2 linked regions of the Oryctolagus cuniculus genome follow. The protein of the gene in region 2 interacts with the protein of the main gene of each other region in a pairwise test. Links are inferred from orthologs where the notes say so. Each region holds a gene or a part of one and is shown on either strand. Other genes may lie near its edges.

Region 1 (11,977 bases), on a different chromosome or scaffold from region 2:
TTGATCGGATTGGCTACCTTGGCTATTTAAGCCGCTGTACCAACTGAAATAAACGAGTCTGCGGGCTGCTCTCCTCTGGCCTGCTTTCACCCGACTCCTGGGGTCTGTGTGGTGACTCCGCGCCTCTTGCCACCACCATGCGCCTCCTCTCAGAATGAATCCAGCGCAGCAACAAACAAATATATATTAAATTATATTTATTTACACTTTCCTCATTTCATTTATATTTAACACATGTGCTAAATGCCTGTGAATGCCAGGGATTATATCAGGTACTAGGGATACAAATATAACTAAGATATGGGATCTGCCTTCAAGGGATTCATAGCTGAATCTGAGGAGACAACTACACCAAATCACTTAGTATAAAAGTGATATTAGGTGTTTGGATGGATTTTAGTACAGAATACAATAGGGACTCTGAGAAAAGATTGGTCAGTTTTATTGGGAGATTCATAAAGATGGCCCTTCAGACAAGCAATAAACTAGTCACCTTTAGTTTTATTTTCTCAAGGTAACCCATTCTTTTTATTTATTTTCCCCCCAAAGAAACCTTTTGTTTAAGGAATATGGACTTCATGCATTTCTTAAGTACAACTTTAGGAATATAGTGATTCTTCCCAGCATACCCACCCTCCCACCCACTGTTCTACCCCTCCTCCTCCTCCCTCTCTCATTCCCAGTCCCATTCTCCACTAAGATCCATTTTCAATTAACTTTATCAACAGAAGACCAACTCTATAGTAAGTAAAGAGTTCAACAATTTGCACAGTAAAATAAAAACAAAAACAAAAAACCTGCATGGGAAGTTAGTGCATAGTGACTCTTGTTGTTAATTTAACAATTAACACTCTTGTTATTATGTCAGTGATCACCCAAGGCTCTTCACATGAGCTGCCTAGGCCACAGAAGCCTTTTGAATCTACAAACTCCATCAGTATTTAGACAAGATCATAAGTGAAGTGGAAGTTCTATCCTCTCTTCAGAGAAAAGTAAGGTCATCAATTCTATTCCTTCTTCTAGTACTAAGGTAAATGTGAGTAACTTCAAGAACAAAATGTTGAATGAAAGCAGCAGACACAAAAAAGAATACAAACTAGATGATTCCATTCCTATAAAGTTAACAACATAGACAAAAATTATTGTACTATGAATCAAGAGGGTAAATACCTATGAGAAGAAGGGGAAATTAATAAGCTTAATAAATATATTCGGAATTTCTTTAAGATATTTCTTTCTTTATAGGGCTATATGATAGGAAGGCCTTAAGGTCTTCTGACTTCGTGAATTCATGAATACCACTATAGTCTATAACTTTCCCATAAAATGTAGATTTTATTTTCATGTCAATAATGGTATAAGAGATAGTGAGCAAAGAACAGAGACCTATTGATCAGTTAGCTTGTTTAGTCACAAAAATCACAAGTCCTCATAGTCATGTCTTCAGAGTAACTAGAAAAGTTAAATTACAAACTACCAAGAACATATAAGAAGGGAAACTTACAGTGAAAACTTCAAAAACAAATTTTGTGGGGCATTGCTGTGGCATAACAACTTAGGCTACCACTTGCAGTGTTGGCATCCTATATGGGCACCCGTTCAAGTCCTGGCTGCTCCACTTCCAATCCCACTCCCTGTTAGTGCACATGGGAAAGCAGCACAAAATGGCCGAAGTGCTTGGGCCCCTGCACCTACTTGGGAGACCCGAAAGAAGTTCCTGACATAATGATTCAAATTTCCAATACATACCAATTTAACATTATTAATGTCACATATATTAAGAATTTACGCGATGGGGCCAGTGTTGAGGTACAGCAGGTTAAATGGCCAACTGCGATGTTGCCATCCTATACTGAAGCACAGGTTTGAATCCCTACTACTATGCTTCCAATCCAGCTCCCTGCTAATGTACCTGGGAAGCAGTGGATGGTGGCCCAAGTACATGAGCTCCTGGGACCTACATTGGAGCCCTGGATGGAGTCCTAGGCTCCTGGCTTTGGTCTGGCCCACAGGCCATTTGGGGAGAGAATCAATGGATGGAAAATCTGTATCTCTGTCCCTTCCTACCTCCCTCCCTGTCTGTCACTCTGTGTTTAAAATAATAACTTTTTTTTAAAGGATTTAGTTGGTACTAAATATATATCATACAGAAAACTATCACAGACCAGACTTTGTAAGAAAAAAAACCCCATATATAAAAGGACTAGATGCTCTGTGCATGAATGATACATCTCTTGACGATTTTTACAGGGTCACTGACCTTCACTAATTACCTTATAGCTGGTACACACCCAAAGAGAATAAAAAATAATGAACATTCTGAAAATAAGAGTTGCGAATTTCATTTTACCCTTAAAATCATTGTCCACATCCAGTTTGCAAGATCTTTAACTTGATCTAAGTATTTACTACATGTAATGTTTTCCATTTCTAAAATGTCACCAACAGAGTGAGGTGATATGTGTGTGTGCATGGGTATAGACCTATTATATTAACTTTAAAGACAGATTGTTATAGGTAATCTATTTATGTGATGAAGTACAATAATTTCTTTTTCACTTACTTCCACTGCTGCTACAACCTGGAATATTTTCTCCAGGAGAATATCCCATGAGGCCTCCATTCCCATTAGGATTAGAAGGTACTGATGCAAGAAGACCTGAACAGGAAAAAAAAAAAATCCTATCAAATTATGATCAAGATCAAAATCAAGAGTAAATACAGAAACAGCTGCCCAAACAACAAATCAAAGGCAACTATCAACATACCTAGACCTCGGTATCGTGAAAGCTGCTGATAGATCTGTTTCATCCTTTCAATATTCAAACGGCTTGCCTCAGCATGGTTCACCATTGGTTTAGGATAATTAATTCCTATCAAACATTTGGCTACCTTTTGAATACCTTCTGGTGCATTCCAGGGATCATAGATATATTTTGCAGGGAAGCCTCTCAGAACAGGCAAATAACGCCTTTTGGGAAAAGGAAGAAAAATTAATAAAATGTACTATGAGCAAACTGTAAGAAACTACCAGCTATCAGTGACCAAAATCAAATCAATACCATTTAAATGATTTGTTTACCCTTCTCCTTATTTCTGCTGCCCATCTTGAGAGGGGAATACTTAAAGTGTTGCTTAAACATGAAAATCTCTTCTGGATTAGCTATTCCAAACTGAGTAATAACCCTTGATTTACCTGATATAGTCTCCATTGGGATCTGTTCTCCTACCAAAACCAACAGGGCAATAGCAGTGAAAAAACTGTTGGAAAAAGGAACTACAAGATAGCCACATCCAACTTCCAGCATTTATGCTCCAATCTGCATCAAGCAATAATTCTTCAAATACCTTCAGAAGTAACAGTAACCAATTAGTTTGCACACACATAATTCTCAAAGCAAGCATTTTTGAGGTCACTGTAGATCAAAAGTCAAGGCAAAGAAAATTAGCACAAAACTGTAAAATCAAAACATTCCAGTTAGCTTCCTTGTTTGTTCTATAATGAGGAATAGCAGGGAAAGAAAAATATTGGTAATATAGATTAGAGAATTTACTTTTCCAATCCTTGCAGTGTTACTGGGGGAAGGGTAAAAAAATTACTAGAGTCACTGGTTTAAAAGATAGGATATTAACAGAGAAAAAACAGTAAACCACTTTCAAAAAAGCAAAACCACTACCAAATAAATCACCAACAAAAACTTAGAAGCTTGGCATAGTGGCCTAGATAAAGGGAGCACACTTAAATACAAATGTACTTTAAAAATGTACTAATATTACACAATTTAAGTTTTAAATTTCTTGATTCAAAAAATAGAGTTAAATAAATGATTATAAATTGACTAAGTTTTTGCTACACATCTTTATATACAATTTTGTACAAGGAAATAAAGGAGATGTAAAAAAAGGCTCAAAATTGGTCCTTAGATAGGGAAAATTTATAATAATGTCAGAAAGGGAGAACATATTTGTAAATCCTGTTACATAAAACCACAATATGATATCATAAAACATAGTATGTTTCACTTTACATAACAGAAATATTACTAAAAAGTTACAATGTTGAAGTAAGGTGAAATGATTTACATTCTAAGATTTATAATATAAATTCACTATTTCTGAGAATTCTTAGGCAAATCTTTTTTGTGACAGAAATGAATACATATAAATATATCTACACGATAACTCCAGAATGCTAAATCTTACAGTTCTCTTAAATCACAGCCTGCTTTAAACATTTAAATGAGTTTAGGTCTATTGTCTTAGCCAGTTTTCAGCATTTCTCCTGTCTGATTATACCATCCTGCTGTCCAAAAGTATGCCTATACTGTGGTGATTAAAAGTTTTATTCACTGAAACACTAGATTATAAATGAATCTGTACAATATACAACATCTGGAGTTCCTTCAAAGACCTGGCTACAGTTCTTAGAACACTTACCTTCATGCCTTCTTCCCAACTGATCCAGAGGTCACCTCGTGTCAGGAAGCAAGCAACTGCGTGTCTGGCTAAATGGTGAATCCACCCTTCCTGACGAAGCTGTGTCATGATGGCATCAATCCACGGAAAGCCTGTTTGACCTTCAGCCCATTTGGCTAATGCCTCAGGATTCTTATCCCAAGGAATCTGAACACAGATGGGGTTTCCCTCCATTTTATCAAAGCGTGGATTATTTGTTGCTGCTGTATAGAAAAACTCACGCCACAATAGCTGCCCATAAAGAGAAAGAGGAGGGGAACTGTTCTTCTTTACCTATGATTAAAAGGCAAAGAAGTATTATCAGCAAGTTTTAAAAATGTATTTTGAAAGGTAAGCACTGATTTTAAAAAGTACCTTTTTGTAGAGATCTGTCAGTTTGAAGTAGAATAGTCTACATGACAAACAGCCAAATCGCAAATAAGGACTGAGCCCAGTGGGGCTTGCAAGCAAGGAATTAGCATTCATTCGAGGTCTTTCAAAGTTTGCCACCCAAGCCTGAAAACACAGAAAGAATCACATTGTCTTTCCCACTTAAACACAGTATTCAAAACAGATTTTTTTTTTAATAAAAGTTTCCCAGTTCTCTGGGAATAATTTATTATCCAAGCCACAAGTTACATATGTTTATTAAACATGAAAGAAAAGTAAGCATTCTTTCATTTCAATTATCATGCAGCACAGACTCATGTGAAACACATAACCTTCAAACTCCCAACACATGCCTGAGATTACCTTCCACTGCCCACTGAGGTTAACAGAGGATTCTATTCTAATTCCAAAATTATGGTCATCGGAAACCAGGTTAAGTAGAAAGATAGGAAATAACCAAGAAAAATAATCAGAAAAGCAGGAGAAAGGGCATTTAAATGAGGTAGTTAATTTTCAAATACTTAGGTTTGTGTAACTTTATTTCCCTGAACTCTTCTTTTTCAACATTCTACTTTTTGTTTTTAAAAGAGAATGAAATTATTTTTAAAATGCCAGCTTGGAAATAAAACATGGCTAGATGATCTAAATTGTCATACTTTTCTTTCCAAATGCCTTTCCAAACGTGTAAGTGCTTCAGTTTCTCCACCAGGCCACACTGCAGAAGATAAGCCATCTGTATCAAAACCTACAAAAAAACAAATAATCAATTTTCTGGAACTAAAACGTTTTTTATTTAATCACAGTTGTGAAAACAATTATTTTGCAGAAAAATTATGAGAACAGCATGAGCGAATTGAGGGCCTGGAGAGATGCTATGACATAGTCTCTGTTCTTTAGGATGTACATCTTAAGGTGATAGCAACAGATATAGAGAGAGCACATAAATAACTACAGAATTATCATTTCTTAGTTTAGCAGTTTTCTTCTTCTTTCTTTCCCCCCTCACCGTTTCCCTTTTAATGTATTAATACTTCATGTGGAAAAATCAGAGGTAAAATTTTATGAGTCATTTATGACTTACAAACTGTTAAGTTCCACATTTATTACAGTTCACACCCACCTAGCTCTTCCAGGGAAGGGACTCCATATTTCTCATCATGGTCATCAGACACAGGAGTTGTGCACTTTTCTATCACCTCTGAAGTAATTGTCTCCACTGGGATCTCTAGAGGTTCCATCTTGCTGATGAGAGTCTGAAATCTTTTATAAGTGAGAGGCGGTTGTCCACCATTGAGTTCTATGATCCTGTTATAAGAGTTAATAAAGAGCAGTTAATATAAGATACATTGGTGTGATGAGCTCTAAAAAAGGCTTAAAATCAGAAAATAATTAATCACATAAGAGTTCTAATAGAATGACAATTTCTTACATGACCAGGAAATGTATTCAAATAGTTAATGAGTCTAAAACACATTTTCTTCATTTTGTAGATATCTGCAAGATGTCAAAAGTATACACTATGCAAATACCATAACCTTTAAGATGAAGAGTACTAACGACTTATGAGTGAAAAAATCAAGCAGCTATAGTAGCCTAAAAACAATAACAAAAACATTTTTTTAAGATTTATTTTATTCCTTTCAAAGGCAGAGTTACAGATAGGGAGAGAAAGAAACAAAGAGGTCTTTCATCCACTGGTTCACTCCCTGAATGGCCACAATGGCTAGGGCTGGGCCAGGCCAAAGCCAGCAGCCAGGAGCTTCTTCCTAGTCTCCTACTTTAATATAGGAGCCCAAGCATTTGAGCCATTCTCTGATGCTTTCCCAGGCACATTAGCAGGAAACTGGATCAGAAGTGGAGCAGCTAAGACTCAAACCAGGACCCATATTGGATGCCTGCATTGCCACCAGTGGCTTAACCCATCACAATGCTGGCCCCTATAACAAAAACTTTAACACATGTGGACATGTGAAAAACATATTACAACCAAGCTCAAGGAATTCTTCAATCATCAATAAAAATTAAATCAGTGTGCAGTTAAGATGCTGGTTAAGGCGTCCAAAACAACATAGGGCAGGCACTGTGGTGAAGCAGGTAAAGCCACCACTTGTGATGCAGGCATCCCATAAAGGTACTGGCTTGGTCCCAGTTGCTCCACTTCCAATCCAGCTCCCTACTAATGGCCTGGAAGGAGAAGTGGAAGATGGCCCAAGTGTTTGGGTTCTACCATCTATGTGGGAGACCTGGAAGAAGCTCCTGGCTCCTGGCTCCTGACTTCAGCCTGGCCCAGCCCAGGCCATTACAGCCATCTGGGGAGAGAACCAGCAGATGGAAGCTCTTTCTGTAACCCTTGACTTTCAAATAAGTAAATAAATATTTATCAATAACAACAACAAAAAGGTACTGGGTTCAAGTCCTGGTTTGCTCCTGATTCCAGCTTCCTGCTAATGTGTACTCTGGAGGCAGCAGGTGATGGCTCAAGTAGTTAGGCTGCTACGTCCCAGGTGGGAAATCTGGATTGTGTTTCCAGCTCTCAGGCATTTGGTTAGTGAACCACTAGCACATGTGAGTTCTCTCTCTGTCTCATAAGTAAAGTCTAAAAACTAAATTAGGCTGATAATTATAGCAAGGAGTAATCATAAGTCTTACCTTCTTTTTTTAAAAAAAAAAAAAAACTTTATTGTATGTATGTTACATTTACAACATGAAGCTGAAGCTATGGAATACATATATGAAGGGAGTCTTCAAAAAAGTCACAGAAAATGTATATCATGAAAAAAATGCATGGACTTCAAAAATTTTTATTTTAAATTCCATTTTTCATGAACTTTTTGAAGTCCCTTCATAGAGGGTAAATGGTTACTTAGGGTAAACCAGATTAATGTATCTACAATGTCAGTTACCTTTTTTGTAACAAGAGCAGCTAAAACATACTCATTTAACAAAAATCTCAAACATAGTATTTTATTAACTAACCTTCATGGTATGTATTTCTATACTTGTTCATTCTACATGCCTGGTATTTATATCCTTTGACCTATGTCTCCCCATTTTCCTCAGCAGGTTTCACTAATTAGGATTTTATATTACTGGAGTGACAATTACTTGCTATGTTCTACTGTGCCCACTCCTTCACTAAAGAGAAAGGCATCCGAGGTAAATGATGCAGCGGTTAAGTTGCCACTTGTGACGCCCACATCTCATACCAGAGTCTTTGAGTTCAGGTCCAGCTCCACTTCTAATTCCAGCTTCCTGCTAATATGCACCCTGGAAGGCAGCAGGTGCAGGTGGTTGGCTCCCTGCCAGCCATGTGGGAGACCAGGATTAAGTTCCAGGTTCCTAGTTTCTCCCTGAGCCAACCCAGGCTGTTGTGGGCATGTGGGGAGTGAACAAGTGGATGGAAGTCTGATCTCCCTCTTTCTCTCTCCCCACATCCTCCCCCACGATCTCTGTCATTCAAATGAAAAAATCTTTAAAAAGATATCATAATTTATATATATAGCATATACAATAGCCCACATACAGTAGTCTCCTTTTATCTACACTTCTGCTTTTCATAGTTTTAGACACCTGTGGTCAACCTCAGCCAAAAATATTAATCAATTCAAGTGAGAAAGAAAGAGACACATTTACAAAACTTTTATTACAGTATAATTGTCCTATTTCATTACTCATTAATCTCATGCCTTATAATTTATAAATAAAACTTTATCATAAGTATATAAACAGAAACAGTATATTTAGGGGCCGGTGCTATGTGTAGTTTTAGGCTCCATTAGGGTGTTGGAATGTACTCCCTGAGAATAAGGGGGTTACTATTGTTCTTACCACACATAAGGCCCAAAATTTCAACTTACTTAGATTTAAGTAGCTTTTATATTTACTACTCACTTCTAATTGCCTCAACCAAGTCATACTTTATTTTTTTTAAAGATTTATTTATTTATTTGAAAGTCAGAGTTATATATAGAGAAGGAGAGGCAGAGAGAGAGAGGTCTTCCATCCGCTAGTTCACTCCCCAGATGGCTGCAATGACTTGAGATGCGCTGATCCGAAGCCAGGAGCTTCCTCCGGGTCTCCCATGCAGGTGCAGGCACCCAAGGATTTGGGCCATCTTCTTCTGCTTTCCCAGGCCATAGCAGATAGCTGGATCAGAAGTGGAGCAGCTGGGACTCGAACCGGCACCCATATGGGATGCCAGCACTGCAGGCAGTGGCTTTACCTGCTATGCCACAGCGCAGCCTCCCCCCCCCAAGTAATACTTTAAAAAGAGAATAACTAGCTTTGCCAATGATGGTCTAGATTAGACAGTATTTTGGAATAACTATTCTTTTTCATTTGCTTAGCCTTTGGCCTTAAAAAAGAATCAGAGGTAAAGTTCAATTCCATCATTTTATAGAGCTAGACACTGAAGCCTACCAGAAGAGTTGAGCAAATTAATCAAGGTCACATAACTGATAAATGACATATCAAGGGATGCGGGTGGGAGAGACGATATGGGGGGGAAGCCATTGTAATCCATAAGCTGTACTTTGGAAATTTATATTCATTAAATAAAAGTTAAAAAAAATAATAAAAAAAAGATTTTCTTAGTTCAAATACAGTGTATTTTTCATTATACTTTGTGTAATTATGTATCAGATGCATGTATAGAAAGTAATCAACAAAAAAGCTTATCTTCTCCTGCTTTAAAGTAAATTATCTTTATTTAAATTAAATGTAATATTTTGAGTTTATACATTGGATCACAATAATTTTATTGACTGTAATGATACAGCAGTGATACTACGGGGACAATGTTCACTACATTTCAATAGCAAAAATAAAATGTAAGAAAAAATATTTTTTAAAAGTTAAACCTTGAGGCTGGCACTGTCACATAGCAGGTTAAGTCACTGCCTGCGGTAGCTGGCTTCCATGTGGGCACCACTTCAAGTCCCGGTGGCTCCACTTCGGATCCAGCTCCCTGCTAATGGTCTGGGAAGGTAGTGGAACACGGCCCCAAGGGCTTGGGCTTCTGTACACACGTGGGACACCTGGAGGAAACTCCTGGCTCCTGGCTTTGGACTGTCCCAGCTCTGGCCATTGTGGCCACTGAGGAGTGAACCAGGAGATGGAGGATCTCTCTAATTCTCCCTCTCTTTGTCTGTAACTCTGCCTCTCCAATAATAAATAAATTAAAAAAAAATTAAAAAGTCAAACTTTGTTATGATATGACATACAGTAAATATTCACATTTAATCCAATAAACACTAATTTTATGCATAATATTGAATCTTCCACCTAGAAATCAACTGCTCTTACACTGTTTTGTCCTTTCCTTGCCATCAGCTCCCTAAAGTTAAGCAAACTGGTACACTAGATAGGAAGTTTATTTTCCAAAGATACATGAGGGAACTTCAAAAAAATTCACAGAAAAATGGAATTAAAATTTTTGGTGCAAAAATTTTTTACATCTATGCAATTTTTCATAATATGCAATTTCATGAACACTTTGAAGCTTCCACATATACACAGATTTCATTTTTTGCACCAAAACAACCATATTTTAATTATATTTTTATAACCTTTTTGAAGTACTCTCAAATGACTTGTAGAATAATATCAAGGAAGATTCCTGACTGAATCCAAACATGATTTTTTGATACACTTGGAGACATAGACTAAAAGTGACTAGTTTATCACTTTATAAAATTAGTTTAACTTGATAAAATGTGTAAATAACTAAAAATAATTTCATTTTATTTTTAAAAGATTTATTTACCTTGGGCTGGCACTGTGGCATAGTGTTTAAAGCCACCACCTCCAGTGCCAGCATCCCATATGGGTGCTAGTTTGAGTCCTGGCTGACCACTTCCAGTCCAACTACCTGTTAATGGTTTGGGAAAAGCAGCAGAAGATGGTGCCAATTCGTGGGCCCCTCCCATGTGGGAGACTAGAAGAAGCTTCTGGCTGCTGGCTTCAGGTTGGTTCAGCTCCAGCCATTGCAGCCATTTGGTGAGTGAATCAGCAAATGAAATGTGTGCTCGCTCTAACTCTGCCTTCCAAATAAATAAATCCTAAAAAAAAAAAAGATTGATTGAAAGAGCAACAGAGAGAGGGGAGAGGGAGGGAGGAAGGGAGGGATGGAGGGACACACAGAGACAGAAATAGAGGTAGAGAAATGTATCTTCCATCAGCTGATTCATCTCTCAAACGGCCACGACAGCCAGGTCTGGGCCAGGCCGAAGCTAGGAGCCAGGAACTCCATTCTGGTCTCCTGCATGGGTGTCAGGAGCCCAAGTACTTGGCTATCCTACACTGCCTTCTCAGATACATTAGCAGGAAGCTGGATGGGAAGCAGAGTAGCCACGACTCCAACTGGCACTGACATGGAATGTCAGCATTGCTAGTGGTGGCTTAAATTGTTGTGCCACACACTGGCCTCCAAAACAATTTTAAAGGTAAGTAAGTTATAAGATTTTAGTAGTCATTAAAATGACTTTATACCAAAAGTTTCTATAAATTAACAAATCTTACAAACTTCCTAATTCCACAGCATATAATACTTCGACTTCCAATTGATCACATTTTCTGTTGGAAAAAGCATCAACAGGGACTGGTGTTTTAAGAAACAACTGAGAAATATTACATTACATCATTGTTCAAAGGAGCACAGCTATGCAAAGTTATATCACATTCAAGTGTCATCTGGATTTAAAAACCAGAGAGAGAAGCAAGTTACGCACTCATGAAGTACAGTAAGACAACTCTTAAGGCAACTTATATAAAACTAGTAAGGCAAAGAGATCAGAAAGGCAAGCCCACAGTAGGCTGAGTTAGAGGAGTAAAGGAAAATTTGCAGTAGTCTTTTCCTTTTTTTTTTTTTTAAGATTTTATTTATTTATTTGAGAGGTAGAATTACAGACAGAGAGGAAGAAGCAGAAACAGACAGAAAGATTTTCCATCTGTTGGTTCACTCCTCAAATGTCCACAATAGTCAGGGCTGGGCCAGGCTGAAGCCAGGACTCCATAACTCAGTCAGAGTTCCCAACATGGGTGTTAGGGACCCAAGTCCTTGAGGCAACACATGCTATTTTCCAAGATATACATTAGGGAAGCTGGATTAATCAATAATAGTTTTGAAACTGAA
Region 2 (11,977 bases):
GGGGGCTGGGTCCCCGCGATTTTCCGAATGCCGTTGTTGCATCTCCAAGGCAAGCGAGGACTCGAAAACAAACGGTGTCCTCCTCCCGAGTTACCAAAACTACCACCGCTGTGAGCAGGATTCGAACCTGCGCGGGGAGACCCCATTGGATTTCGAGTCCAACGCCTTAACCACTCGGCCATCACAGCCGCGTGCGGCTGGGGCCCTGCGCAAGTATAGCTGCCTATCAACGCGCCCGCCTCCCGCCGGCCCCGCCCCGCGGCCCGCCGGCGCCTGTGCGCGTGCGCATGCCGATGGCTGGGGCGCCGCGTTTCCGGGTTTCCCTCCGGTCGCCGAGCGGCGGGACGACCCCACCAAAATGAGAACAAGTCTGGGTCTCTCCTCCCGGGCCTTCGAGGGCGAAGTGAGACTTTGCACGAGAACGGGAGGCCGGTTGGGCTTGGTAAGAAGAAGAATCGTTGGAAGGGCCGCGTCGAGACGCGATGTGTGCGTGGCAATAAGAAACCACCCTCGGCTGCTGAGGCACCGCTGGGATTCGAACCCAGGATCTCCTGTTTACTAGACAGGCGCTTTAACCAGCTAAGCCACGGCGCCGGCGGGAAGGCGGGCCTGTCTCGCGGCACATCAGCTGTTTTGAGACACCATCGACGAGGCTGCGGAGAGGCCCGGCGCCGCGTCCTTCCACCCCCGGCTCGCCCCTGCCCCTCGGGGTCCGGGCTGGAGGTCAACGTCCCGCCCAGTTTTTCCCCATGGGTGCAGGACAACGGGTGCCCGTAGCACCTAGGCTGACGCTGCCCGAGGGCCTCCCCTACCCCACCCCCTCGGTGTGGTGACCTCAAGGAGCCGGGCCCCTTCCATCCATCTCTCCTTCCCGGGACACCAGCTGAGGCCATGCGCGGGCGAGCGTGGAGTCGGAGTTTGGTGCTGACGTCTGCAGCCGTCAAGGGCCCTCAGTGGAGGTGCAGGGAGAGCAGCGCCCACACCCTCAGGCAGCCCTCCGGGGGAGCGGGACCCCACCCCCCGCTCCAGCTCCCCGCTCCCAAACTTCATTCCACAAAGTCCTGATGGTTTTTGTTTTTCCGGTTTTGTATTACAAAAATAATAACAGACACGATATCAAAAACACAAATGCCATTGGTAGAGGGAACAGCTGAGAACGCCTGGGTCCCACCTGAGGGGCAGCACCAGGGACTCCGTGGTCCACCAACCTCCCCCACCCTGGAGCAGCTAGGGGCTCGAACCCCTGGGTCCTGCTTGGCCCTCAGTCCCTCGGCCCACGTGGGGAGGAGGTGGGAGAGAGAGCCATCTCCCCAATAAATAAGTGCAGTGAACCCTCGGGCTGACGCTGGGGCTCCGTGGGGTCCGGCGGGACTGCTTGAGCAGCTTGTCAGCAACCTGGGCTGGGGCAGGGCGCGCTCCTCACCAGGGGTGGCAGGGGACACCCCTCCAGGCTGCGCTGGGGAGTTCCACCCGCTGTTGCCTAACAGGACAGAGGCAGTCCCTGGATCCCGGGCTGGTGATGGGTCCAGCCCCCGCCCCCGACGAGCTGGGGCCGTTTCCTATTGGTCTGGCCACCTCTGGGTTCTGACATGAGGACACAGAAGGATGCCTCTCCCCGCCCAGAGGTGGCCCCCGGATGGAGCCTAGCTGGTGCCATTTTCCTCGGCGGGTAAGGCTGGACCAGATGAGCTCCCACCTTGCTCCTCCTCCTCCATGGCTGAGTCCTGGGAGCCGGAGACCTTGGCCTCCCCCTGGGCCCGGGCCTCCTCACCACCCTCACCCTCACCCTCACCACTGCCGCCACCGCCGCCGCCACCACCCTCGCCTCCACCCTCCTCCATGGGCTCCAGCCCCAGTCCCTCCAGCTCCGAGAAGACAGGGTCCTCAGGGTGGCCGGGGTCTTGGGCGCTACTGCCGCAGTCCACACAGGCCTTGGAGAGAGAAAGGGGGTACGAGTGAGGCAGGAGGCTCCTCAGGGCTGTCCGCCAACCCAGCTTCCCGGCCCCGGGGCCCAGCGGTGCTTCCCAATGTGTACCTGGGGTCCTACTGGCTACCCAGATGCCACTAGGGGACCATCACCACGGGCACGGGCAAGAGCAGGTGCATGGCAGTTCAGCCACGCCACCCAGCAGCTCATGGAATTCATGACCCAGCCCTTACCCTTTCTGCCTTGAACTTGTGCTCAATCCCCTGCCAGCCCCCCGCCCCCAGACTTCTCTCACCATCACATCAAGGGCCCGAGGCAGCTGGCCCTTCCGGACCCAGGAGTGCACAGCCCCCAGTTCCCGCCGCTGGTCCTCGGAAAACCGAGGCTGCTGTTTCTGCATGGCCCGGAGCCGCTCCCGGTCCTGCTTCAGCACGGACGCCACGTCCCTGCCCGGGGAAGGTTCGAGGCAGAGGCTAGGATCCAGGACCAAGGCCAGGCGGCCAGGACCCCCGAGGCTGGCAGTCTGCCTCTAGCAACCTCCCCGCCCACTACCTCGTGCTCCTCCCCTCAGCTGGGGCGATGGAGGCTCATGGCTCTCGGAGCCCAGGCAACCTGCTCTCAAGTCGGGGAAACTACTGATGGGGCTCCAGGGGGCCAGGGGCTGGATGGAGCCTCCAGGACAGAGTCCCAGGGAAGAAAACTCCACGTTAGCTGGGGAGGGAGGGTGGGCTGGGGCTGCCTTCCCCACCACCTCAACAAGGGAGGTGGAAGAGGCCTGGGACCCGCCTCACCTGGAGGGCACCTGGTAGGTCATCATGACACGCTGGTCAGCATTGGCCATGAGCAGCCAAATGGGATCCTGGAGTACATACTTAATGACCTGGTCTCCAGGCTCGGCCCTGGCCCGCGCAGCCCCAGCCTCTGCCTCTGAAGAGTCCACGCTGCCGAAGTACTTGCTCGTGTGGCTGCTCTGACTGCTGCCTGTGAGTGAGGGGCAACCGCTGAGTGGGCTGCCCGGCGCGGGCCTGGCCTCCCAAGGCCCCTGCCAGGGAGGTGTGGGGGGGTGGGCTTACGGGTGATGCTGGCCGAGGTGCTGCCCTCTTCGTGGGAGCCTAAGCCAGAGCCCAGGGAGCCCGAGGCTGCGGAGCCGGTGCCAGAGCGAGAGTCTTCCTGCAGCAGCAGCTCCAGCAGGTCGCTGGAGCCAGACAGCGCGTCCTGATTGGAGGACTCGGTCACCTCCACCTGGAGGGCGGCAGGGAACAGCAGCGATGGTGGGCTCCGCGCCTGGACAGCCCTCCAGCTGTCCCCACTGTCCCCGCTCCCAACAGTGGGGCCCACCCAGGCCAAGAGAGGGGAGAGCTGGTGAAGAAATCCAGCTGGGGTCTCCCGCCCCACGACACCCACTCCTGGGGACAGAGACCCCAGCCCAGGTGACCCCAGGGCAGGAAGCTGCGCAGGCGCAGAGGGAGCAGACGTGGATGGGGAGGGCCTGGTGGGCCTGTAGGACGCAGGGGGTCGGTGCTCACCATTCTGGCCTCTGGCTCAGCGGCCTCCTCACTGGGAGGCGGGGGCCCAGCACTGCTCCCGGGACCCCCTGCAACGGCAGCCCCCTCGGCACGGGGGGGCTCCTCTAGCTGCAGCAGGTTTAGCTGGAGCGGGGAGCTACATCTTGACTGGAACAGTGGGGAGTCCGGACGTGGCGGGGGGCTGGGGGGCAGGGGGGGCAGGGAAGGGGACGGAGACTGGGAGGCAGGGGTGGGAGGCCCCTCCGCAGGGCTCTGGGGCACCCCATAGGGATAGGTGGATGTAGTGGGGAACAGATAGTTTGGGAGCACTAAGGCTACCATTGGGGTCACCAGGGGGGCAGGGAAAGTGGCAGGGGGCACAGATGTGGAGGCCGGGGGCAGAGCCTGGGGGCCTCCCCGAGGAGAGAACACTGGGAGAGGGTAGGGCTGGACCACGGCTGGGAATGGCGTGGTGGCCGGTGAGGAGGGCCAGGCAGCAGCGGGGGACACAGGTGAGGGGTGGGAAACGCAGCAAGGGGCTTCGGCCCGGGGAGTCTGGTGGTGGCGTGAGCGCTTGGCTTTGGATCGGCAGTGGTGTCGGCGGCCAGGGGGCGCAGGGCCGTGGTGGCAGCCTGTAGGGAAAGACGGCGTTAGCGAGGGCCTCAGCCTGAGGGTTAGTGCCCCTGCCTCCCCCAACCACCCTGACACTGACCAGACGGAAGCCGGGCAAAGGTTCCAGGGAGAGCTGCTCGCCCACACAGAGCAGAGGGCACAGCGGGGGAGGGGGCTTCAGGGAACAATTACAGGAGTCAAACACCAGGGAATTTATTGAGAAAGGAGCCAGGGAAAGGAAAGGTTACATGAAGGCCAAGCTAGGGTGAGCAGGAGGCCCACCGGCAGGTGGGAGGAGGCAGTGTGGGTCCAGGGACCAGTGGGTAGGTGGCTCCAACTCATCCTCCGAACTCTGGAAGACACTGCCAGCCTGGTGCTGCTCTTTCTGCCTAGCTTTCCACAGTGGCAAGAGGTGGGCAGGACAGCCCAGGCCTCAGTCTGAATCTCGAGTCTCTTGAAACCCCAACTCCACCCAGAGTCGGCCCAGGGCCCGCATGGATCTCTTCATCAGTGACAGCTGCGCCTCGGCCTGCGCCACCTCCTGCCCTCGCCCCCAGCTAGGCTGGGGTAGCTTACCTGGAGCACAGCACCTCCGCCTGCCTGTCTCAGAGCCAGACCCCAGGCTGCCCTGGCTGCAGCCAGGAACCCCGGCCTGGCAGGGAGAGGCTACCGTGGGGCCCGTCCTGAGGCAGGGCCCTGGAGGGGGAGGCAGCACCAGCCTGCGTCCCTGGAGTAGGAACACCTCCCTCCAGACCCACCCGGGGCAGGCTGGTCCTGGACTGGGCAGAAGGCAGGCTCGGGGACGTCCCGGTGGCTACCTCGCTCGCCAGGGGCCGAGGGGGCCGTGGAAGAGCCGTCGAGTCTGCGCAGCCGGCCGAGGTCTCGGAAGCGGCTGAGGAAGGCTTGCTCTTCCTTCTGTGTGTGCAGGGACAGCACGGCCTTGGTCAAGCCCACTGGGCGGTAGGCATCTGGGGCTGGGTCAGGGGCTACTGTGGGGCTGGGGGCCGGACTGGGGGCCGGGCCTGGGGCTGGGCCAGGCAGGTCCTCCATGATGATGTCTAGGGAAGGGGAGATGGGGGAAAGGTCATCAGAATCACCTCCAGGTCAGCACAAGCCCACACACACCCTCCCCGTCCCACAGCATAGCTAAGCCCTGGGCCCCGAGCCCCTGAGCCCACCACTCCATGCAAAGCTGTCCCGGGACGCGAGCATTCCCGGTCTCCTCCAGTGGCTGCTGCCCCGCCAGCCAAGTTCCCGGGATGACACCGCCAGAGCTCTCGTAGGAGGGCAGGCCCCCTCCTCGCCCTCCCCTCACACGCTCTCAAGGTCAGCACCCAGAGACCCTCTGGGGGTCTTCAGCAAGTTCCTCGCTACACACACCCTGATGTCAGCACCTCTAGGCTGAACCCTGCCACCCCCGAGATCTATGCTTCCAGAGACGGCGAGAACACAAGGAGCAGAGTGGGGCAAAGCAGACAGGCTGGCAGGGGCAGGGCGAGCCGCAGCAGCCCCCACTAAGAGGAGGCCTCTTTCTCTCCATAAGGCCTGGAGGGGGAGAGGGAGGGGGAGGGGAAGGGTAGGCAGGAAGGGGCTGGCTGGGGACCAAGTGGAGCCCGGGTGCTACGCCCTGGCTCCATGCCCATACCCGCCTCCGGGGGCTTCTTGTCTCCCACATGGACGATGGTGGAGCTGAAGCTACACTGGCTGGTGACGGACACCACGCTCTCTGCCTTATTGGCCAGGGCAAGCGGGCTCAGGGTGCCTCCCACCACCGCCTCCTTCTGCGGAGTCGCCCCCTCCCCAGAGAGCACTGCCGCCGCCGCATCTGTGCAGAGAGATGGCCCTGGTTACCACCCCGCCAGGGGTCAGGAGAGGGGCTATGGGGTGGGGCGGAGATCAGGAGGCAGGGCAGGGGGACAAGGCAGAGCGAGGTAGGGTCCCAGAGGCAGAGGGGCAGAGTCACGGGGTCACCAGGCTGGGGCGGGGACATCGTTACCTTTCTTGGTCCCCATGGGGACTGGACCCGCCCTCTGCCTGTCATCGTCGGAGGCGGAGGAGGCGGTGCAGGAGGAGGAGGAGGCGCACTTGCGCTTGGTTGTGCTGGGGATGTTGCAGCTCTCCAGGTACCTGCGGCCGACACAACAGGCAGCCTTAAGGGCAGGATCCAGGTGCGGGCGGGGGCAGAGACCGGGCCCAAGGGGGAGCCGGTGCAGGCACGCCTCACCTGAGGATGCTGTCCAGGCAGTTGATCTGCTGGTAGGAGCAGCTGGAGGCTTCCTTCTGCTCAGCCTCCTCAGGGACCAAGGCTAGCGGGGCCTGGATGGGAGCAGGGGCCACCTCCAGCTCTGGGTCTGGGGACTGGCTGGGAAGGGCCTTGGCTTTGAATGTGCCTGTAGCTGGGGCAAGATTCAGGGAAGCGGGTTGGAGGTGGAGGTCGGGGGAATCTTCTGGTCTCACGCCTCCCCCACCCCCGGGTCCTTGGCAAACTCACCGGGGAGGCGGGGCCGAGGTGGAGGCCGGGCCCGGGACTCAATGAAAAGCTGCTGCCCCTGGTGTTTCACCAGATGCACGTCCTTGCAGATCTGCTGGAAGGTCACCTGCAGGACACAGAGCAGCGGTGGGTGGCAGAGGACACGAGCAGGGAGGAGGGAGCCCCTACAGGAGCAAGGCGGGTGGGGGAGGGGGGCGGGGACAGGAAGAGGAGGCCAAGGCAAGGCTGCGGGACTGGCAGGGCAGATCCCAGCACAGAAGGGCGACTCGGGGGCAGGTCACTCACTGGAGCAGGAGGCCCGGGCCCTTCCGCATCGCCCCCGTTGCTGTCACTGGAGGAGCCAGGGCTGTGCAGGGGGCCTGGGGACGTCATGGGGCCAACACCACAGAGCCCCGTGGGGCTGGAGCTGTGCACAGGCTGCCGTGGGGAAAGGGGCACGTGAGATGTCTGCAGCCTGCCTCCCGCCCCTCCCGCCCCTCCTTCACCTCCCAAGCCCCCTCCCCTCAACCCTCACCTGCAACAGCAGCCGGTGGATCTGCTCAGACAGCTCGTGGATGTCAGGGTCCAGGGACAGAGCCGGGCTGGGAGCAGGGGGCGTGAACACGTCCTCATTCAGGGGTGCCCTGCAGAGTAGGGGAGGGTGAGTCCTGCCCTGCCCCAGGTCCGCCCGACCCGTCCAGCCCTGCCCTGCCCCCAGTGTCAGCCGGGAGGCACAGCACACTTACGTGCGTACTTTGTGGCGGCCCAACACAAAGGCCACCTTGCGGCTCCAGGGGTGCACGAAGCCGGCCCAGCTGGTGTCCATGGTGACGTACTCCCCATTGCGGGCACAGAAGCGGATAGGGGAGTGGTCAAAAGGCTGGCCCGCCAGCTGTAGGACTGATTGGCAGGAAGGGGGGGGGTGAGGCGTGTTGGCATGGGAAACGAGGAGGGGTCAGCGGGAGGGAGGGACGAGACCCAGATGACCATGACACCCAGAGACAAAACTGTGAGGGCAGCTATTAGGAAGCCCCAGGGACTGCCAGGAAGGGAGAGCATGACGAGAGGAGCTCACTCTTCTTGTGGATGGCCAGCATGAGGGGTCGGTCCTCGGGATGCAGGAACAGGAGCACTGGGGCCCCGAGGAGGTCCTGGGGCAGATAGCCCAGCAGCGGAGCAGCCCTGAACAGGAGGAGGAGTCAGAGAGACCCTGGCCTCCGCCCTGGCCACCCCCTGCCCTGCCTCTGGGCCCGGACCTCACCTTTCGTCCACATCCTGGAAAAGGCAGCTGGGTGTGTGCCGCGTGGTGAAGATCCTCTTGTCAGGAGGGATCCGGGGAGCTGAGGCACAGCGAGGGCAGTCATGGAGTTTCATCCGCAAGGGTTCAGCTCCCCGGCCCTCCACACTGCCTCCCCATAGCCCTGCCTGGGGCCCGGCTGCCTGCAAAGACGGCCTGGGCCATCCTTTGTGCCTTGGATCAGTATCTGCACCAAAAAGAACTAAGGCGTTCTTTGCCCCCCACTATCTAAGGGCTCTACCTCTACCGGGGGCTGCAACCCTCACCCTCAGGACAGCTCGACTTGTTCCAAGACCCTACCGGCCTGGCTCCTGCCTCCCCGTCCTCCTCCCAGCCTGAGCCAGGCCCGCCCACCTTCATAGCCCGAGTGAATGCGTTCTGCGATGAGCAGGCAGCACGGCTGGGCGGGGGCCCCGTCTGAGACCCGGATCTTGGTCACATACGGAGTCAGGCGGAATGGCTGGTACCGAGGCCCTGGGTCCCGGTCAGGACCTCCTCTAGCCGGGGAGAGAGAAGCATTAGAGACCTTCAGTGTGGAACCACCCAGCCCTCCTCAAGATCATGGCCCACATGACAAAGAAATCAAGGAGATGGTGGGAGAGGGCGGCCTCCTCCCACTCCCCATACGCCGACCTACCTGATACGGCAGAAGACAGACTTCTCTTGGGTGAAGTCCTTGAGGCCTGAACCTGGGACAAGGCAGGCAGTGAGCACAGCTCCTGGCACTCCTGGCCCCGTCCCTGGGCCGAGAAGGGCCCAGCAGGGTAGAGCTTGCGTCCCCTGGCCCCTCAAACAGCAGGGGCTTCTGGGACCGCTCATCCCTCTCCCAAGCACTGGAGCACCTCACCTGCCGAGGCTCCCGTGCCCCAGGTGGGCAGGCGAGACGGGGCAGTGGAACCGTAGAAAACGCCCACGTCCTGGGGAGCCAGGAGCTCCGAGAAGCGGGCACCTCGGAACACGTCCCGCTTGCAACGCAGCAGGATGGCCGCCTGCTCCGAGATGTACACGATCCGGCCGGTCAGGAAAGAGACGGCCACCGAGAAGGTATCCTGGTCGGCGGGCGAGAGCGAGAGCAGATTCAGGAGCTGGGGGGTGGGGGTGGGGGGGGTCGGGCGCGCTGGGGAGCAGGGGCCGGGCGGCGGCTGACCTGGTTGCGGAGCGTGTACTCAGACGTGATGTGCTCCAGCTCCTCCAGGGTGTAGGTGGACATGTCCATGGCGCACGGCTCGCCTTCTTCCAGGCTCCATTGCTGGTAGTACTCCTGGTTGGCTGCAGGGGGGCCATCGGTAAAAACGGGCTGCCCTCCCACAGCAGCCCAGGCCTGGGCCACTCCCTCTGGGTGGGCACCACTCACCCTGCACCTGCTTCACGCAGGCCAGTGCGTACTGCAGCGTGGCCAGCGTGCCGGAGCGGCCCTTGCCCCGGCGCTCTGGTGGCAGCCGAAGCTTCAGCTCCCGAAGCGCCGTCATGAGTTCCTTCTGCGTTCTCGCCCGGGCTGACTGTTCACTGCTGCAGGGCCCACGACAAGGAGAGGGTGAAGACGGGAGCCCCAGGAGGAGGCCCAGGAGCCCGCACCTTCCCCCTCCCAGCCCTCAGCCCACATACCTGCAGCCGCTGGTGGATGGGTTGTCCTGCTCTGAGCTGGCACTCAGAAGGCTATAGGCGATGGAACTGCTGGGTGGGGATGGGCTCTGAGAGTTTGTGCTAGGGGAGAAGCAACAGACCCAAGATGAGGGGCCTGTGGCCAGCAGCATGGGGCTCACCTACACCACCTCTGGGCCTTGAAAAACACACGCACACGCACTTACCTCTTGCTGCTCTCCGTGGTCTCCAGCAGGGCAGAGTCCTTGCCATTGCCGGAGGAAGAGCTGTGTGAGCTCCGCTGAGAGGCACCCCTGGACTCAGGCCCATTGGACTCATTGCCACTGGAGCCATTGCTGTTGGCATCGGTGTCATCGGCCAGGCTGGGGCCTGGCCGAGGCCGGTGCTGTGGGGGCCCTGGGGATGGGACCCCGCCTGGACAGAAGGATTCTCCGGGTCTGGGGTCCCCACCCCCATCAGCCCCTTCTAGGGGGCCACTCATGTCTGGGCCATGGGGAGGACAGGAGAAGAGAGAAGGCGGAGAGGCCACTACGGATGCACCCGGCGGCCAGCAGGCCTGTCCGAGGGAGTGAGGTGGGAGATCTATGTTTCGGAGGGTTGAGAAGTTGGATCACGGCCAGCACCTGGAGAGCGAGATCAGGAAAGAGAGCTTTAGGGAAAGCTGGGACGCTAACCCCACAGCACCTGCTGGCTTCTCAAGACCCTCCCCTTCCTGCTCCCATGCTCCCGGGCCCCGGGCCCAGGCCCAGGCCTTCTAACATGCAGCTGAGGGAGGTTCTGTTTTGTGTCTCCGTAGGAGTGCGGCAGGTGGGAGAGGGCTCCCTTGGCCTTCCCCCACATCCTCTGCCAGCGTGGCGCGAATTTGTACCGCCCGAGCAATCGACCAGGACTATGGCTGTGGGCCAAGGCCTGGACACTTCCCATGCCCAAGTTCCCAGCAGGGCCCCCCCAACTCGGCCGGGGACTCTAAGGCCACAGAGCAGGGGGTGAGCCGATCGCCGCCTATATTTAGGCTTCCGGGCTAATTTTATCCGGGGGCGGTGCCACCCCCGCCGCACATGCGCGCCGACGTGCGCGGCCCCACCACGCGCTTCCGCCGCCGCGGTCGCCAGGGAAACCGACGTCAGCCACTGAGCTCAGCGGTTGCTGGAGGGACCACAGGAGGGCGGGAGGGGCGACCCCTCCCCCATTTCCCAGCGGAAGTGGGAGATCGACCCTCTCCCACACGGGCGGGCGGGTGCGGCCGAGGGTCGCCCACCCCTAAATATCCCCAGTGTCTGGACGGCGGGATGGCGTAAGAAAAAGGGCCGCCTCTCTGGGTTCCAGGGCTGGTCCTGGCCGCCCCAGGACGAAACACAACCACCACGGCCCTCCGTGCAGAAGCCCCCCAGCCTGGCTCTCGCCTGGGTCCCCGTCATTCTGGCGGAGACGACACAGCCCACCTTTCTCCGGCTCCTGCCCCCTTGCCGACCACCAGGGCCGAAACTGGCACCTGCTAGCGTCAAGGACCTGGGAATCCTCTCCCTACCCCACACTCCCCGTCCGAAGCTCTGGGCAGGGGTCGCACAACAGCCAGGGGACAGTTCTAACCCCACTCTCGGCCCAACCACACCCCCCCATCCTCAAGCATTTTCTACGCGCCAGGAGAAAGGCAGGCTGTGGCCAGCAACAGGAACTAGCGCCGGGAACGGGATGTTCCAGCCTGAAGCGGGCTGACATCACGGCCGGCGCGGGGCCAGGGCCCGGAAAGAGGAGGGAGCGCCGAGAGCCTGAAGGGGTCCTGATGTCAGGACAAGCCCGCAGACCCCCGAGTAACGAGAAAGGAAACAGGGCACGCTCGCTGAGGGTCGGCTATGGGGCCAGGGTGGCTGGGGCCGGAGGTAGGGAGGCGGAGTGGGGCGAAGCTGGAGGTAAGATGAGCGGGTCAGGAGTGCGGACGCCCGGTGCAGGGTTGCAAAGAGCACCCAGGTCCCTGGGGGCAAGAAGGGGGTGGACAGCGACAGGGAAGGTGGATTATTGGTGTGCCGTCTGAGCGTCCGGGCTCCAAGTGGTCCATCGTGTAGGAAGTGGAGGCAGTCCGGCTCTGGGACCGAGACCGGCCCCAGGGTGGGCGCGGAGGTGCCTACCTGGCCTGGCGAGGGCCCTCCGCCGCCTGTCCGCTGCAGTTCCAGCCCGCAGCCGAGTGGAAGCTCCGCGGGGCGGGGAGGCGGGTTGCATAATGCCAGGCGCTGCCCCTCATTGGCCTCCTGCCGGCGGAGCCGCAAGCCCCGCCCCCGATTGGCTGGGGATCTCTTCCCGGCGCCCGATTGGCTGCCGGCCCCCACTGAGGTCAGGGCTGTGTCACACACACGGGCGCACGTGGACCTGGGTGCTGGCGCTGGGCTGAAGGGCCCCGGACACCGCCCAGCACAGTGAATAATAGCAGAGAGAAGAGGGAGGTCAACCGCCCCCTTCTGAGAGAAGATGCCCGGGCTCAAAGAGATGTCTACTTCCTGAACGGACAAGATTTGCAGAATAGGATGCCTTGGTCTTTTTGGGGGGGGGGGGGAGTGGGGGAGCTGGCC

Evidence for each region.
Region 1: the proteins of PER1 (region 2) and CRY1 interact in binary tests that used the Homo sapiens proteins (3 or more experiments, as listed by UniProt). The link is inferred for Oryctolagus cuniculus from reciprocal best matches to the Homo sapiens genes PER1 and CRY1.

The regions. Positions count from the first base shown.
Region 1 is NC_091442.1:109,554,917-109,566,893, forward strand, and holds part of CRY1 (cryptochrome-1), read right to left. Parts: intron 6,151-11,977; coding exon 5,966-6,150; intron 5,591-5,965; coding exon 5,502-5,590; intron 4,972-5,501; coding exon 4,831-4,971; intron 4,750-4,830; coding exon 4,438-4,749; intron 3,349-4,437; coding exon 3,197-3,348; intron 2,972-3,196; coding exon 2,769-2,971; intron 2,660-2,768; coding exon 2,564-2,659; intron 1-2,563.
Region 2 is NC_091448.1:52,633,788-52,645,764, forward strand, and holds the end of PER1 (period circadian protein homolog 1), read right to left. Parts: intron 11,884-11,977; exon of another isoform or gene 11,540-11,883; intron 10,037-11,539; 5' UTR 9,895-10,036; coding exon 9,620-9,894; intron 9,516-9,619; coding exon 9,417-9,515; intron 9,321-9,416; coding exon 9,166-9,320; intron 9,081-9,165; coding exon 8,959-9,080; intron 8,861-8,958; coding exon 8,659-8,860; intron 8,501-8,658; coding exon 8,449-8,500; intron 8,309-8,448; coding exon 8,166-8,308; intron 7,855-8,165; coding exon 7,776-7,854; intron 7,697-7,775; coding exon 7,590-7,696; intron 7,415-7,589; coding exon 7,261-7,414; intron 7,159-7,260; coding exon 7,050-7,158; intron 6,953-7,049; coding exon 6,821-6,952; intron 6,642-6,820; coding exon 6,536-6,641; intron 6,441-6,535; coding exon 6,269-6,440; intron 6,172-6,268; coding exon 6,041-6,171; intron 5,870-6,040; coding exon 5,690-5,869; intron 5,103-5,689; coding exon 4,863-5,102; intron 4,065-4,862; coding exon 3,454-4,064; intron 3,170-3,453; and 9 more. UniProt on the Homo sapiens protein: Transcriptional repressor which forms a core component of the circadian clock.